2 linked regions of the Xenopus tropicalis genome follow. The protein of the gene in region 2 purifies or fractionates together with the protein of the main gene of each other region. This does not show direct contact. Links are inferred from orthologs where the notes say so. Each region holds a gene or a part of one and is shown on either strand. Other genes may lie near its edges.

The links. Proteins that work in one complex are often made in the same cells at the same time.
Region 1: the proteins of hat1 (region 2) and asf1b purify together in Homo sapiens (affinity purification with mass spectrometry; 6 studies listed by BioGRID and IntAct, counting the BioPlex papers as one, with this or other methods). This does not show direct contact. The link is inferred for Xenopus tropicalis from reciprocal best matches to the Homo sapiens genes HAT1 and ASF1B.

What each region holds. Positions count from the first base shown.
Region 1 is NC_030679.2:134,224,626-134,232,690, reverse strand, and holds the start of asf1b (histone chaperone asf1b), read left to right. Parts: upstream 1-2,600; 5' UTR 2,601-2,649; intron 2,650-5,557; 5' UTR 5,558-5,602; coding exon 5,603-5,711; intron 5,712-8,065. UniProt on the Homo sapiens protein: Histone chaperone that facilitates histone deposition and histone exchange and removal during nucleosome assembly and disassembly. Cooperates with chromatin assembly factor 1 (CAF-1) to promote replication-dependent chromatin assembly.
Region 2 is NC_030685.2:67,564,432-67,572,025, reverse strand, and holds the end of hat1 (histone acetyltransferase type B catalytic subunit), read left to right. Parts: intron 1-4,113; coding exon 4,114-4,281; 3' UTR 4,282-4,800; downstream 4,801-7,594. UniProt on the Homo sapiens protein: Histone acetyltransferase that plays a role in different biological processes including cell cycle progression, glucose metabolism, histone production or DNA damage repair. Coordinates histone production and acetylation via H4 promoter binding.

The sequences.
Region 1 (8,065 bases), on a different chromosome or scaffold from region 2:
TTGGATGCAGATTATTCTTTAGGTGTTTCATAGCAAGGGAGTAAATAATTATTAAGACTGGCTAGGATATGGGACAAGAACCCATAGGTTTGCAGCCATCCTCCTTAACCATTAGGCCAGGAGAGCAGCTGGGGAGTTCTTGTATCTCTGATTTAATCTCATCCATATTTATTCTCAAGTTTTCATCATGCTGTTCCATCACAACCCAGCAGCTTTATTGGTCAGAGCCGACTTATTTGAACCCTTCTTTGACCTCACTTTCTTGCCTGAGCATCGACCTCTGACAGCTTGTCCCTAGTTCTTGTTCCCCTTGCTCTTGCCTGTTTCGGTCTTTTAACCCTTTCCATCCTGCTTCTGCCTATCCTGACTTGTCAAATAGCTAGTCCTTGCCTTAAGGGTTCACTGCCCATCACATCCAAAGATATATAAATAAAGCCCTGAGGTTGTACTAGAATTTTACCTTTTCTCTATACCATGTTTCTTCTCCCATTATTAACACACCCCTTCCTAGTCTTTTACCTCATATCCCATTCCCTGAACATTTATCAGTCCAACTGTATCCCTTCTTGCCTTCCTTCTGTAACTTTAACCCTACTCTTACACCTCACTCCACAATCCTTTGTGTCCATCTTCCAACCTCTTTCTATCTGCCATTCTCTTCCCTACCCCACATAAGCTATTATCTGCACCTTTCCTTAACCCCTTTTGTTATTCTCTCCTGTCTTCCCTCTCTTGCTTTTCCCTTTCCATGTCATGCTCCGCAGTGTACATCCTTCCAGGGCCAGTGTCTCAAATATCCACAAGTACAGACTGGCCCATGTTATAAACAGTGCTTCAGAGAAATACCACTTTGTCCAGCTCAGGCTACAATATTCTGAGGGTGTTGGGGGCATAAAATGCCTTAGTCATAGAGGTGGTGCAGACAATAACTTTAGCTTTCCATTCAGCACTACCTAGATGTCACTGCACATCTAACTTCTCCCCTCCCTCCTCCTCACCTAACTGTGTAGCCAGTGCATGGGCATCTGGTCCCCCAGTCAGTCACATAAACAAGATTTTGGGGTGATACAAAGCTTGCCTTCATAACACGGTCCACAAAATGGCGCCTGCCTGCTTGCTTTGATTGAGAAATTCCAAGACGGAAGGAAACAAAATGTATATTATTTATATAGAGTAAGTACAGTTTATTTTGCTCAACTAACAATATAGAAAACAATTTGGACTTATTTCTTAGGGTGACAGGTCCCCTTTAATCCTTGACTAGACATAGCAGAGCCATTTCCCTCTCACACAGCATTAGAAACGATGAATTATGGCGTGAGCGCCTATAAAGGCTGAGGCGGTTACATCCGCCTCTAACAGCCATCTTGCGTTCCTTCTATCATTTTGTTGCACAGCAATTCCCAGAATTCCCTACAGAGGCTGGGGGGGGGGGGGTTAAACAAGCCTGATAGAAATATAAAACTTTATAGCGCAGCCTTTGTTTCTGTATGTATGTATATCTTTATAAAGTGCTACTTATGTACGCAGTGCTGTACAGTAGAATACATTAATACAAACAGGGGGTTATTAAGATAATAGATAAATACACAGTATAACAATAAATACAGATAAATACAAGATACAGTTGCAATAAGATAAGAGTCGAGGACACAAGAGGAAGGAGGTCCCTGCCCCGTAGAGCTTACAATCTATATGGGAGGGGTAACTTACAGACACAAATAGGCAAATGTAAGTGCTGTAGGTCACAGTGGGTGACACTTCAATATAAGTGCCAGTTCCCAGTATAAATACATATACTGCCCACACTGCTGAAGCAAGGTTGCCACCTAAGCAGTAAAAATGATGCTTGATGCCAACCTTATTAATAGGGAATATGCACACAAATAAATGAAAGCCTGTATTTTTTTTATCCAGAAAAAATGCTTAAGGTGTAAATAATGGTTTAGTGCAACAAAACAAATATATGGCAGGAAAATGTTTACCAGTAAGTACCCTACTCGGCCGCCCCTAGTCTGTTTCCGGTTCCGTTACACCCCAGCTTCACAAGTGCGTCATGGTATTTATCAGCGCCCCATTACCTACCCCACGCATTCTTACTTCCCGCGCAATACCTGCCTATCCGGAAGTTGCGTCAGCCTAAGCCGGAAGATAATGCCCGACGCGGGAACGAACGTCAAACGGCGCGGGAAGCAAACACCGTGCTCCAATCAAACGTGAGAGCTACTGACAAGCCCCGACCATGTGACCAAAGCTGGTAGAATCAGCGGCCATCTTTAATGCTGGCAACGACTTCGAACGGCTTTTAGACGTAGGAAGCGAATCCGTTTAATGTACTGGTTTGGTAAGGCAGACTCGGCTGTACGTGGGGGAGAGCCATTATACCCCTGTTTACAGGCTTGCATAGATAGGGGGTGATTATGCGTTTCACACTATCCAGAAGCGTCATTGGTTGTTGCTTGACGGTGAGAGGGAGGGGCTTGCGGCTCAGAGGGGGCGGGGCTGGGGGGCGCGTTTGGAGTGAGGTTGTAAGCGAGGCGCGGGAGACAAAACGGAGGGCGGGAAAGAAGGAGCGGGCTGTTTGTGACGGTTGTGTGGGACGGAGCGGTACAGCCGGGCATACCGGGGAAGGAGGAGACGCCACAACAGGTGAGTGCTGTTTCCTTTCTACTCCGGGCTGTCAGCCCACTCTTACTCCCCCCATGCCCACCTTGCTGGTGAACTACAAGTCTCTGTAGAATATTAACTCGGGGGCCACAGGCTGAACTAATAGTCCCTACCTGTGTGTCCATAATCCCCATTTCCCTGTACGTGTTTACTCACAGGGGCGTGGCTAATGTGTGCCTATAACTTATATAGGAATATACTTGTATAGGGAGCCCTCAGTCTTGCACTTGGCCAACATCCGAAAATAGTTTAATGCTCAACATACAAATTGTATCACTAGTTGGCATAAAGGCTTGCACTTTATTTCTGTTAAGCTTCTGTGTGTCTGTGGCTGCTGGGAGTTGTAGTTCAGCCCTGGGGGCTGCCTGATAGGGGTAACTAACTGATAGGGGTAACTAACTGATAGGGATAACTAACTGATAGGGATAACTAACTGATAGGGATAACTAACTGATAGGGATAACTAACTGATAGGGATAACTAACTGATAGGGATACTTAGTTATGGCTTTGTACAGCTCTGCAGTATGTGTTGGTGCTTATAATAACCTGTTACTATTATTATTGTGAGCCTCCTCCTGTAACCGGTTATTGGATGAAAGTCCTGTCTGAGCCCAGTGTGACACCTATATAGAAATAATTGCTACTTCGGTTAACATTGCTTTCATTGGAATGTGAGTAGCATATTTAGGGGATCCCATTGTTAGTATTGGGGCTCATGTTGGCAGTAGCCAAGTTGGGGCCCGTGGGCCAGATCTAAAGCTGGCCATAGACGCACCAATAACATCGTACGAAACCTGGTTTCGTACGAAATTCAGTGCGTTTATGGCAAGTCGGCGAGTCGACCGGTATCGCAGGAAGCTGCTGATATCTGTCGACTCGCCGACCAGCAACGTCAGAAGATTTTGATCGGGGGCCATAGAAGGCGCCTGACCAAAATCTCCCTTCGGCGCTGAATCAGCAGAAGGAGGTAGAAATCCAATTGTTTCTACCTCCTTACCTGCAGTTTCAGCGCTGAAGGTTAGTGGCGGATCTGACAATCTTTCCTGCGACCGATGGTTGCACAAAAGATCGCAGATCGCCACGTGTGTGGCCACCTTAAAGCTGGCCATACACGTGGCGATCTGACGATGTTTCGTTCAACCATCGGTCGCACGAAACATCGTCAGATCCGCCACACACTATTCAGGGCTGAATCGGCAGGTAAGGAGGTAGAAACAATAGGATTTCTACCTCCTTCTGCCGATTCAGAGCTGAAGGGAGATTTTGGTCAGGCGCCATAAAATTTTCAAACTGGTCCGGTCGGCGAGTCGGCCGATATCAGCAGCTTCCTGCGATATCGGTCGACTCGCCGACATACCATACACGCACTGAATATCATACGAAACGAGGTTTCGTACGATATTATCGGTGCGTGTATGGCCACCTTAAGGGATCTATGTGCCCCCCACGCTCCTCCCAAAGGCCCCATTGGCCCTCAGACATGTGCTATAAGAAGTAACTGTCCCACTGCCTGTAGCGAGTTGAATGTGGCTGGTCATTGGGGTCATTTCACAGTATATCGTACCCACAGGGCTTCCCTTTGTTGCTATAATATGCATACACCAGTAACTCTACCTTGTAATGGGGGGGATCTGAACATGTAATGCATGCTGTAATATGATAACAAGGCTTGAGTAGGAGACATCATAGAATTGTCTGTTAACCTGACAGAACAGTGGGAACAGCACTGCCGGCAGCGCAAACAGACGGCTATTGGGCAGCATTAAAACTTCCCGTGCCATTGCTTCCTACTAGAGAAACGCTCAGTTCAGGAGTTGGCCAAATCCAGGCACCTTTTGCAGGATTCAGCTAAATACTTGGGGGAATATTTATCATGCTGTGTAAAAAGTGAAGTGAAGCATTACCGGTGATGTTGCCCAGGGCAACCAATCAGCAATTAGATTTCAACAGTTAGAAAACCAAAGCAAAACATCTGATTGGCTGCTATGAGCAACATCACTGGTAATGTTTCACTCCACTCTTTACACAGCATGATAAATATACCCCTAGGTGTTCATTCAACCCCTTAGTTGTGTGCCTTTAAAGCTTTGGGCAGCTAAGTGTGACATGTGTTTTTAGTTTATGGAAGGTGACGTGGTTTGAATTTTTCCCATATTTTAAATTCGGTGTTCGTCTAAATGCAGAAATGATTGACTCGATGCATGGCAGGATCTCACTGTAATGTGTCTGCGACTGATTCCAAGGAGTGAAGAGGATATTGAGCGGAATAGAGAGGAGTCCCCTGTTGAGCAAACTGGGAAATCCAGCGACTGATTTGTGGGGTGCACAGCCGAGCTTATTTCTAATTGACTTTCAGATATCAGGATGAATGGGGGGGAATAGAGGCTAAGGAAAGGGTTTGTGCAGTGTAAGGGTGAAGACACACAGAGCTACTAGTTGCAGCAACTTGTCGTGGCTACTAAAATAGACAATGCTGATCATTTACTGATAGTCTGTGTGTTAGCAGAGGCAATTCTCAGTATTGTCTATGTCAGGGGATTTTCTGGAGTTTAGTTGCCATTAAAAATAGCTGCTACTAGTAGCTCAGTGTGTCTTCACCCTTACACACACATAGGCTTCTTGTATTTCTGTTAGAGAAGGGCAAGTACAGAGTATAATAAGTGCCAGAAATGCAATTCAGAATGCAGTTTCTCACAGAAAGACTGCCATACCTTTTCACTTAAAGATATATGCTCTTGAAATGCTTTTCTTTAGGAACTGCTGATTTTCAAACTTATTTCCTATTTGTTTCTAGTAACCTATTTAACCCTTGCAAAAAAATTAATGACCAGATTTTATAGGTCTCTCTCTTCCTGTTTGATTGTAAACACGTGTTACATCTCTTTTAGCCCTAGTGACATAACATCGCTGGCATTTACAGCTTGGGAGGCATCATGGCAAAAGTACAGATTCTCAACATGGTCGTGCTGGATAACCCCTGCCCCTTCCACAACCCTTTCCAATTTGAAATTACTTTTGAATGCATAGAGGACCTGCCAGATGGTGAGTGACTGTTATTCTCATCAAGCATGCCTTTTTAGATGTTCCCAACATGGGAGATTTAAGATGGCCATACATGGTCCTGTTCTAGCTGCCGATATCTGTCCTTTACACTGATTTGGCAGCTTATCTGCCTGTGTATGGGCACGAACAACGGGCCTAACCGACCGACATTGGGCCTGAAATTGGCTAGATCTCGATCGGGCAGGTTTGAGTGGGTGGGTATATATTAAAGGTTGTTGTTCACCTTTAAACTAACTTTTAGTATGACATAGACATTGATATTCTGGGACAATTTGCACAGTGGTTTTTGGTTATTTAGCTGGGTTCACATGCTCTCCAGTTTAGAATTTCAGCAGCTCTCTGTTTGCTAGCAACTTGTTTACCTTAGTAACCAGGCAATGGTTAAATGAGAGACTGGAGTATAAAAAGGAAAGGGGTTCAATAGAAAGCTAAGGAATAAAAAGTAACAAATATATAAGATCAGTTGTGAGCCCTCAGAGCAATAGTTGGCTGCCCCAAGTTCATTGAACCCCATTTGAAAGCTTTTAAGATGTAGAATAGAAAAGCAAAGAATACAAAAGCTATACAAAATAAATGATGATGATGATGAACTGCAAAGTTGCTAGGAATAGGACATTCTGTAACATATTAAAAGTTAAAGTAAAGGTGAACCACCCCTTTATGGGGATTGTAAAAATAATATAATACAATTTTGCCTCATAAAAAAAAAAATATACATCTAAGCAACTTTTTAATAGTTGTAAAAGTAATAGCTATTGAAGGCAGTACCTTGTTCTGACTATTGAAACTCTTGTAAAAGCCAACACCTTCTGCAAAGTGATGTGCAGGCTGGCTCGGACCCACAGGTTCTGGCCGACATTGGCACAGCAGAAGTGGGTTGCAGACGGGTTCAGGGCGAGCTCTTAGACTGCCTTGAGCACGCGCCTGCTCTGACCCCTCTGTGATGTCGGAGATTGGAAAGGCGTGGATCTATAAATATATATGGATCTGTGGATTGGGAGCAGATGTGTTAGGGTTGATGCGAGGGGGGTAGGAGCTGCCTTGAGGTGGGGGGCCCTGGTGGGCCCCTGACACCCCAGTCTGACATTGGTTGAGAATATCAAGAGACACTTGCTGCTTCAATAGCAATTACATTTACAAGTAAGTTGAAAACCGCTGAAAATCTGTCAGATACATTTTGACATGATAGGAGAGTTTGTCACTTGCACCCCCCCTGGCTCTCCAGCGATAGAGTTTGAGGCTCCCTCGGCACCCTCCACTCGACCACCCCTCAACTCAAGGAAAGAAATGAGCGCTGGCAAATAGCAGGACAAGCCCTTGCAAATGTTATTGCGGAAGTGCAACTTTTCAAGGCAAATTGGGTTGAGAAAGGCATTCTTTGTCCTGAAACGTTGCACTTCTACAATAACATTTGCAAGGGCTTGTCCCTTTCCTTGTACAGCTAAATATTAAAACATTGCTCTAAAGCAGGGTTCCCCAACCTTTTTTACCTGTGAGCCACATTCAAATGTAAAAAGAGTTGGAGAGCAACACAAGCATGAAACATCTTCCTGGGGTTACAAATAGGGGCTCTGATTGGCTATTTGGTAGGCCCTGTGTGGACTGGCAGCCTACATGAGGCTCTGTTTGGCAGTACATATGGTATTTATGCAACCAAAACTTGGCCAAAAGCCAGGAATTCAAAAATAAACATCTGCTTTGAGGCCACTGGGAGCAACATCCAAGGGACTGGAGAGCAACATGTTGCTCACGAGCTACTGGTTGGGGATCACTGCTCTCTAAAGGTTTCGACCTAACTGAATCCTGCAAAAATGGCTGTGGTTTTGGTTGACACCTTGAATTCAGTGCATCCCTGTTATGCATTTATATATTTTTGACAATTGTGGTGTCAGAGCTCAAATGGCCAGTATTGAGCCCAGCAGTGAAAATGAGCACAATGAATGAATGAATGAATTACATTTTTATTTCATGTGAAAAACCAATGCTCCTACATAATTAGATGCCATTGTAGTCAGAAAAAAGCTCCCATGTATGTGTGCATGTATAATAATGCAGTACTGGGGCAAGCAGTCAGATAGGGCTCCTAAAGATCAGTTCTCACAGTGCAGTTTGTGGTGGGCAATGTTAAGGTTTCAAGAACATCCCCAGTTTTAATGGTTACACTCTGGGCAGCTTGGTCACTGCAGATGTCACATACAGTATATGATGGTATGCGTGCTGTTTCAGCTTAGGCTATTCTAATTATCAATTACTTTGATGGTTTTTCCAGCTATTGCTTTTAGATAAAAAAAAAAATACATTGCATGTCTTCAATTATTGATAAACTGAAAATA
Region 2 (7,594 bases):
TTGGCATGATTACTAGTTGGCATCTCTTGACAACACAGCTTATACAAGAGCAGAGCATCTACAAGGCTTTAGAGGTGGACCTGCTGTATGTGATCATATCATTCTTTGGGTAAGGAAGGAGATCCAAGGTAGTGGGAAGGAATTTAGGTCCAAAGACTGGGCACATTAGAGGGACCACCAGAGGTACACCTTAGACCAGTTCTGTTAAATTTATTACATGTAATGGTTATGATCATTTCGCATGCAGCATGTTTGAGGGCCAGATTACATTTAAATAATGTCGTACAGTAGAGTCCAAGGAGCCTTTGAACAGACTGGGGCATAAAAATTCTTTAGAGGGCTACATACGGCTCTTAGGCCTCCATTTGGACAACCCTGCCTTAGTCACCCTATAGTAGTAACGAGTTGCAAATCCAGTGTCCAGGAGTTTTCTCAATTTATTTAAGCCAAATAGAGTATGCTTTCCCCACAGTCATTTTATTTGCCACTTCTTGCTATATGAAATCCCGGCAACCAGGCAGTTGCTTGCTTTAGAATATGAATAGGAGAGGGCCTGACTATAAAGATAAGCATATATTATTTATTTATATTGTAAATACATTTATAACAAGCCACATAAAGTTCTCAGATGGCTATAAGCAGTTTATTTATATGCATATAGCAGACTGCTTTGGATCCCGTATAGTCCTGACACTACACATCTGTATGAGCAGGTGAGGATAAATTGGCAACCTTATGCCTCTAGCAGATTAATGTGCTTTTTCCTTACTTTTGCACTTGATTAATGTGCTTCACTGGGACTATGCTGTACAGATGTGGACTTGGTCCCTTGTAGCAGTGTAACTAGTGGGGACGCAAAGAATTCTCAAGCTGCCCAGCTGCCTGGGAATTAGTGTCAATAGCAGGGTCACACTGGGACATCGGGAGAAAACGCACTGGGCCCCACCGACCCCATCCCTGCTGCTTCCCCTTTGCCCTCCCTCCTCCAATTGCGGCAAAGTATAAGGTACAAATGCAGACAGAGGGGCTGGTGGTAGGTGAGTGGGTGGACAGAGGGGGCCCCTGAGGGGTTGTGGGTGCCCCTGGGGTAGCAGCCCTGGTGGGCCTCACACACCTCAGTACTACCCTGGTCAATAGTGCTTCATGTACACAGCTTTCTAAGCAGCCATGTAAGATTTCCAGAGATGAAGATGCAAACACTATGGTGGGAGACATAAGATATATACCCTGCGTAACCAACCCCTCATTAATCTTCTCCGCAAGAAAGGAAAAAGCCCATTAATCAACGAAACAAGTATGGTTACCAGTACATCTATTTAAAAATGGACATAAATTCTTTAAAATATTACAAATGCTATATTTAGCATAATCCTGGAAGCAAATGATTAAGGAGGTTCTCGTTATAGGAAGGTCCACTGAGTTGTGTGAGAGCCCTTACATCTGTTTATTATTTTATCACTGCAGTTCTCCCTGTTCTTTATGCAGGAAGAAGCTTTGTACATTATACAAAGCAGAGCGATCACTCTTATTAGAGCAGACTGTTGAGTAAACATCTTTCTTAGCTTCAAAGGTCACCCCCAAGTGCATAGTACAAAACCAAATAAAAGCATCAGTGTTTGTTAAGGGCCAGCGATCATGTGAACAAAGCCCCACGGGCAATGCCTAGTGCCTTACATTCATCTTCTCAAGAAGGCAAGATCTTTTATGCCTGAACTTTTGTGCTTTTTGATAGGTGCAATCCCTTGTTCTTAGTGTACCATGCACTGCAAGCTTGATTAGTCTCATCATCAAACAAAATGATCTCTTGCTAGTTGATAAAAATACTGACATGGTATAAAAGATATATTATGCTTTGTTGTTTGTTTGGTACATTACAAAAAGTAATCCTCTTACCTGATCTTTTTCCCTAATATGTATTCTCCAGGAAGTAGTGGGTTGAAATAAAAGTCCTTTATTATTTTCCTTTATAAAAACATAGGGATCAAACAGAATAAATACTTTAGATTTAGTAACCTAAGGTGAGATCACACACAGACCATTCCCTTTATAAGGCACAATTCCCCATATGTAATAAAAGGCACTAAGTTTGTAACCCATAGCTACCAATAAGATTTTTGCTTTGAAACAGGTGACCAGTAAATGCTACCTGTTGATTGGTTGGTATAGGTTACTGCACCCAGGGAAACTTAGTGCTTTTTATTACATAACCCCCAATATGTGCATGTGATTAAACTCAACATTACATATAGCAGTACTGCACATCTAGGGCACTTCTTATATGTATTGCACAAATAGTATCCTATTAACACTGAACTGGAGGCAATACCCAGTTACAAACTGCCTTCATTTAGCTAAAAACAACAGCTAATTGGCCTTTGAACTGCTTGTTTTTGGCATAGTTGTCTTGTAGACATGAAAATGTAACAGTCACACTTATTTTTATTTTTCACTCATTTAGAAAAGTGTTATTTTTAACTATCCCACAACAAGTAAATAGTTTCCAGAGATGTTTTCCCTGCCTGCGCAATCAGGAACCCATAGAAAAACAGTCCTGTTCTCCCATACTGTCGTCTGACAAGTGATTAAGTGATGTAATTTTAAGAGGAAACAGCCCCATTTCCTGTCACATCTGTACCGAGTGTATGTATTTAGGGAATGTGTTCTTGGCATTCTTATATTTTACTCAGCATAAGTTTGTGTCTGTGTACTAATGAATATCAGCAGAGGATCTGGGGGGGTAATGGGGTAAATCTTGGTGATATAAGGCACCTTTTGCAAAACAAAGATTTATTTTTTGTAGATTATTGTTGAATAGAACAAAATGTATAACGTTAACTTTTAGTATGTTATAGAGTTGCCAATTCTTAGTAATGTTTCAGTTGGTCTTCATTTTTTATTTAGCATAGTTTTTAAATTATTTGCAACTGCCTTCTGACTCTTCTCAGCTGTCAAATGGTGTCACTGACCCACATCAGCCAAAAACTATTGTTATTGTGACTTTTTATTACTCATTATTCTATTTAGTCCCTCTCCTATTCATATTCCAGTCTCTCATTCAAACCAATGTCTGGTTGCTAGGGTAATTTAGACAAATAGGTGCGGAAATTCCAGACTGGAGAGTTGAACAAGAAGCAAAATAATTTAAAAAACACAAATAATATAAATGAAGACCAATTGCAAATTGTGTTAGAATAGCACTCTCTACAGTATATTAAAAGTTATTTTAAGGGGAAAAACCCCTTTAGGGGGTCATACAGGGGAGTGTTTCTGGGAGAACCACACCCCATTCATTTTTATGGGGTTGTACTGACACAGGCGCATGTAAGAGCCGAACACAGGAGAATGCAACCCCTGTTCCCCTGCTGATCTGGCTGACTACTTTAAGACTCAAATAAAATGTAACAGTAGTCGACTGTCCTCAGCCTGCCTTCAGCCTGCATCCTCCTAATCCCACAATTCCCTGCACACGTGATGTTAATAAGGAAAGGAACATCACAGTGCAATGCATTGTGGGTTATGTAGTTCCTGTATGCTGTGTGTAAGCTGTGTAGAAGTTTTTAAAATTTGTATCATTAATGTTTTAGTCCCTCCTGCCAGGATTTAAAATGATGCAGAAAGATAACAGTTTTGCAGATGGATTTCAGTTTTTTGGGGAGTCACCTTGATTTAAACGCCGCTCACTTGATCGCCCACAGGAAGAGTTCAGTCACCTGCTAGAGATAATACACACCCAAAACCTAACTTGCACTTTTCATAGAATATTCAGACAAAGTCCTCCATAATCCATCTGAAGCAATGAAAAAGGGAGCACAGTAGTAGGCAGGGCTGGGGCAGAACAGGGGTGGCCCTTCAGATCCAGGTTGACATCCCTGTTGCTGATAATCGGATCGAATCATGTTATAATTGGCAAAGGGGTTTTATTTGCGTGCCCACTAGATCCGGTCCTGTATTGGTCCACTATGTTTGCAGCTATCAGACTAAGCAGGCCGATCCCTATTCAGATTTAGGAGGACAGATTAAAAAGTTGACCTCTTTCAAAGAACTGGGGATTTATTTGTGGCTTTGTGTATATTGGTAAATAATTATTTGTACTGTTTAACTTTGTTTACACAGAAAAATCAGAGAGAGATGGCTAAGATGAAACAGTGCCTCCGGCCAGAAGAGCTGACCAACCAGATGAACCAGATCGATCTAAACACGCAGCATGAGCAGTTAGAGGAGAGCTATCAGCAGCTGGTGGAGGAATACAGGCGGATAGTGGAGCGGCTTGCTCAGGCGTAGAGATCACAAGCATGGCCGCTGATCTTTCACACTATAGCCTTCAGCTTTTCTCTGATATTGCCAACAGACTGCAATCTTAGTACAGTTCTCAGTGTACTGTTACAGTCATGGTTCTCTTGGACTCTTTGAACTTCCACCGGGCTGGAATCTTCAGCTGCCTTTTGTTAATGATAGACCTGTTTGCGTTTAGAGCCGACGTGCAGTAAATATTGGAATTGCCCGGCTCTCTCAGCACTTAGTTAACTTTCCAGGGCCATGCAAATGTTACCCAGGGCATGAAAATCTAAGAATCCAAGGCTTAGGAATCAGGGAAATTGATCATTAAAGCCCACCATCACTTTTAACAATTCCTAGCACTGGATTTGCCATCTACAACAGAGGAGGGAAATATTTCAGTATTATGCAGTGCAGGGTACACTGTTGCCAAAGTCCATGTAGCTTGTATCAGCAAAAATATGTACTTATAGTGACACCAAAATATTAAAGCCATCATTAAAATAATGGTTTTTGCATTCAAAACATCTGGAGTGCCGCAGCCTTTATTCTTTCACAAAGCCATGCTGTTTGTTTTCTTTCTGTAATATAGAATTATTGCCTTACCTTGTTGACACATATCTTCAGTTACCAATTCTACTTTTCCTTTAAGTACAACCAAGTGGCCACTAAGTTAATCTCTCAGATACAAACTCCCTTCCAGTTATATTGATTTGCTGTATGCCATTAATGGGCTGGCTCTATGGGCATTTTTACTGGTCCAGATACTTGCCCATGTCATGTGATTTCAGAGGCATACATGATCCCTGCTAAACATAGGGGATTCTTATAATATTTGGAAGGGTGGCAGCAGAATATCGAAGACACATCACTAATATCATGCTGTGCCAAGTTCCTAGTAAAAAGATACCCCATACGGGCGACCCATTAGGAACTGAAACCAGCACTGTGGGTTGTTCGTACAGATTAGAATAAATTTATCAAACTCTTTAAGAGAGTACATACTCTTCTGTACTGAGACATGGTGCAAAGGAAATATGCATCTCTGTTAGTGTGCCTATCAACAAAATAGTTAACATGACCACTCCAAACTCGACAACCCACCTCTAGACCCACACCCATTCTGCCCCATCTCTGGTGTCACAAAAAGGGTGGGGCCGAGCATGTGTGCACCTATAAGTAAGGGCTGTTGAAAGCAGGGGTAATAAGAGTACAGGCAGGGAGGGCAGAAGAAAGAGCTTGGCCTGAACCCACTCACAACCTACAAATCTTGTGTGGATGTTGCAGGTTTTGGGCTGACCCACACATCACTTCCCACCTTAAAACTATACATGGGTTGATATAATTATTTAATCTAGGTATGATCAGTGTCAAAATAATACTCAGTAGTAAGAACTAACAACAGCTCTGCTTTAACAAGCCAGCAAATATTGAAAAATCAGTACCAGAAACCTTAACATGTTTATATGCCGTAACTCAAAACCACTATAACAAGGGAAGATAACATTATTTCGGAAGAGTATCTTCTCTGTTCATTGGAAGCAAAGAGCTTTTCTTATTGTTGAACATAATTCCTGGGATGAAGCAGAGGTTGCCACATTCAGACACTGCTCATTGTATGTTTCTAGAAGGAAAAGGATTTGCACACTCAGTGATAATTACCCTGGCAATTTTCTTTGGTTTCATCATGGATGTACAGTATTAAAGTAATTTACCGCCCCTGAAATGGCCCTGATTCATAATGCATATATTTCTCCTCCTTTGATGGCTTATTGTGTTGAGTAGGTTTCATTATTTTTTTTCTGGGGTTTTTTTGTGATCATACTGGGTTAGAACTGTTGGGTTTTCATAGTGGCACTTAAAAGTTTGAAATAAAAAATATAGTAAAATGGAATGCCATTTGTGTGTGTTTGTTTTTATTCCCTTGTATTGATGGTGGCACGGTTACTGTAAATAATTGTCCTGGTGCCTTAAATAGAAATGGAATATTCAAATGATTCCTTCAGGAGGTCTCTAAACCCAAGTGAATACATTATATTCTCCTCTGGCGGTGCATTTAAATAGCTAAAGGAAGATCTTTGTGTGCAAATGAATAGCCATATTATAGACTACAACAGGGACAGGCAATTATCCACACCCCAGCTGTTATTATCCTTTCTTTATATGGTGCTGATATATTCTGCAGCACTTCACATACATTATACATCATGCGCGTCACTTGTGGAACTACAGTAGGTGTCATAGGCCAGTGCCATTGATTTAGATCACATTTTGGTGCCTCATATTCTATAGGGACCCCTATGTGACCATGCTGATCTCATCTACATCATAATTGGTCATTCTACTATGGGATCCTTGGCTATTTCAGTAAGTAATGGCTGACGAACCAGGAGCAGAAGTAATAAAACTCTGTCTTTCTGGGAGGGAGGGGCATGGAAAAAAAATAGGTTATTTAATATATATATATATATATATATATATAATGTCAAGAATGTCACACAGAGCCTAGTCTTCATATATACTTATGTATATAGTTATCACCATCCATGTGTATGTATATGTATGTATAACTTTATTTATAAAGCGCCACAAGGGTATGCAGCGCTGTACAATCTTACAGAATACAAAATTACACACAGGGAGGACAAGTGATATAATAAATAAATACAATAAATATATATATATATATATGTGGTATGAGACACAGTAGGAAGGAGGTCCCTGCCCCGTAGAGCTTACAATCTAAGTGTCCATATGTATCTACATATGACAACAGAAGCAGGTTGCGGGTGGGTTTGGGCCAAGCTCTTCTGCCTCCAGCAGCATCTTATTTATAGGTGCGTGCCTGCTCTGCCCCCTTTATGATGTCAGATGGGGCAGGGTGGGATCCATGGTTTGTGTTGGGAGTGGGCGGGTAAGGGTCAGGTGCGGGTGGACAAATAGTCAGCAGTGGCCATATACACACTAGTTGTTTGGTCATTGGATCACAGAGAAATCTGGCTGTATATGGTCAGCTTAAAGGACAAAAGCACTATGAAAATATACCTAGCATTAGGGGTAATTCACAGCCATTGGGCCCCAAGATTATAAAACTATATAGGGGTTCATTGGAAGTTGTAGTCTTATAACAACTCTTGTATTCTTCATGCTTACAAAATATAAGAGCTGTATGAAAACATATTTAGCATTTAGGGCAACTCACAGCCAGTGGGCCCCTAGCTTTTATAGAACTACGGGTTGATTAGGTGTTTTAAGCTGGCCATACACGAGCAGATCCGCTCCCTTGGCGATGTCGCCAAGCGAGCGGATCTTCCCCCGA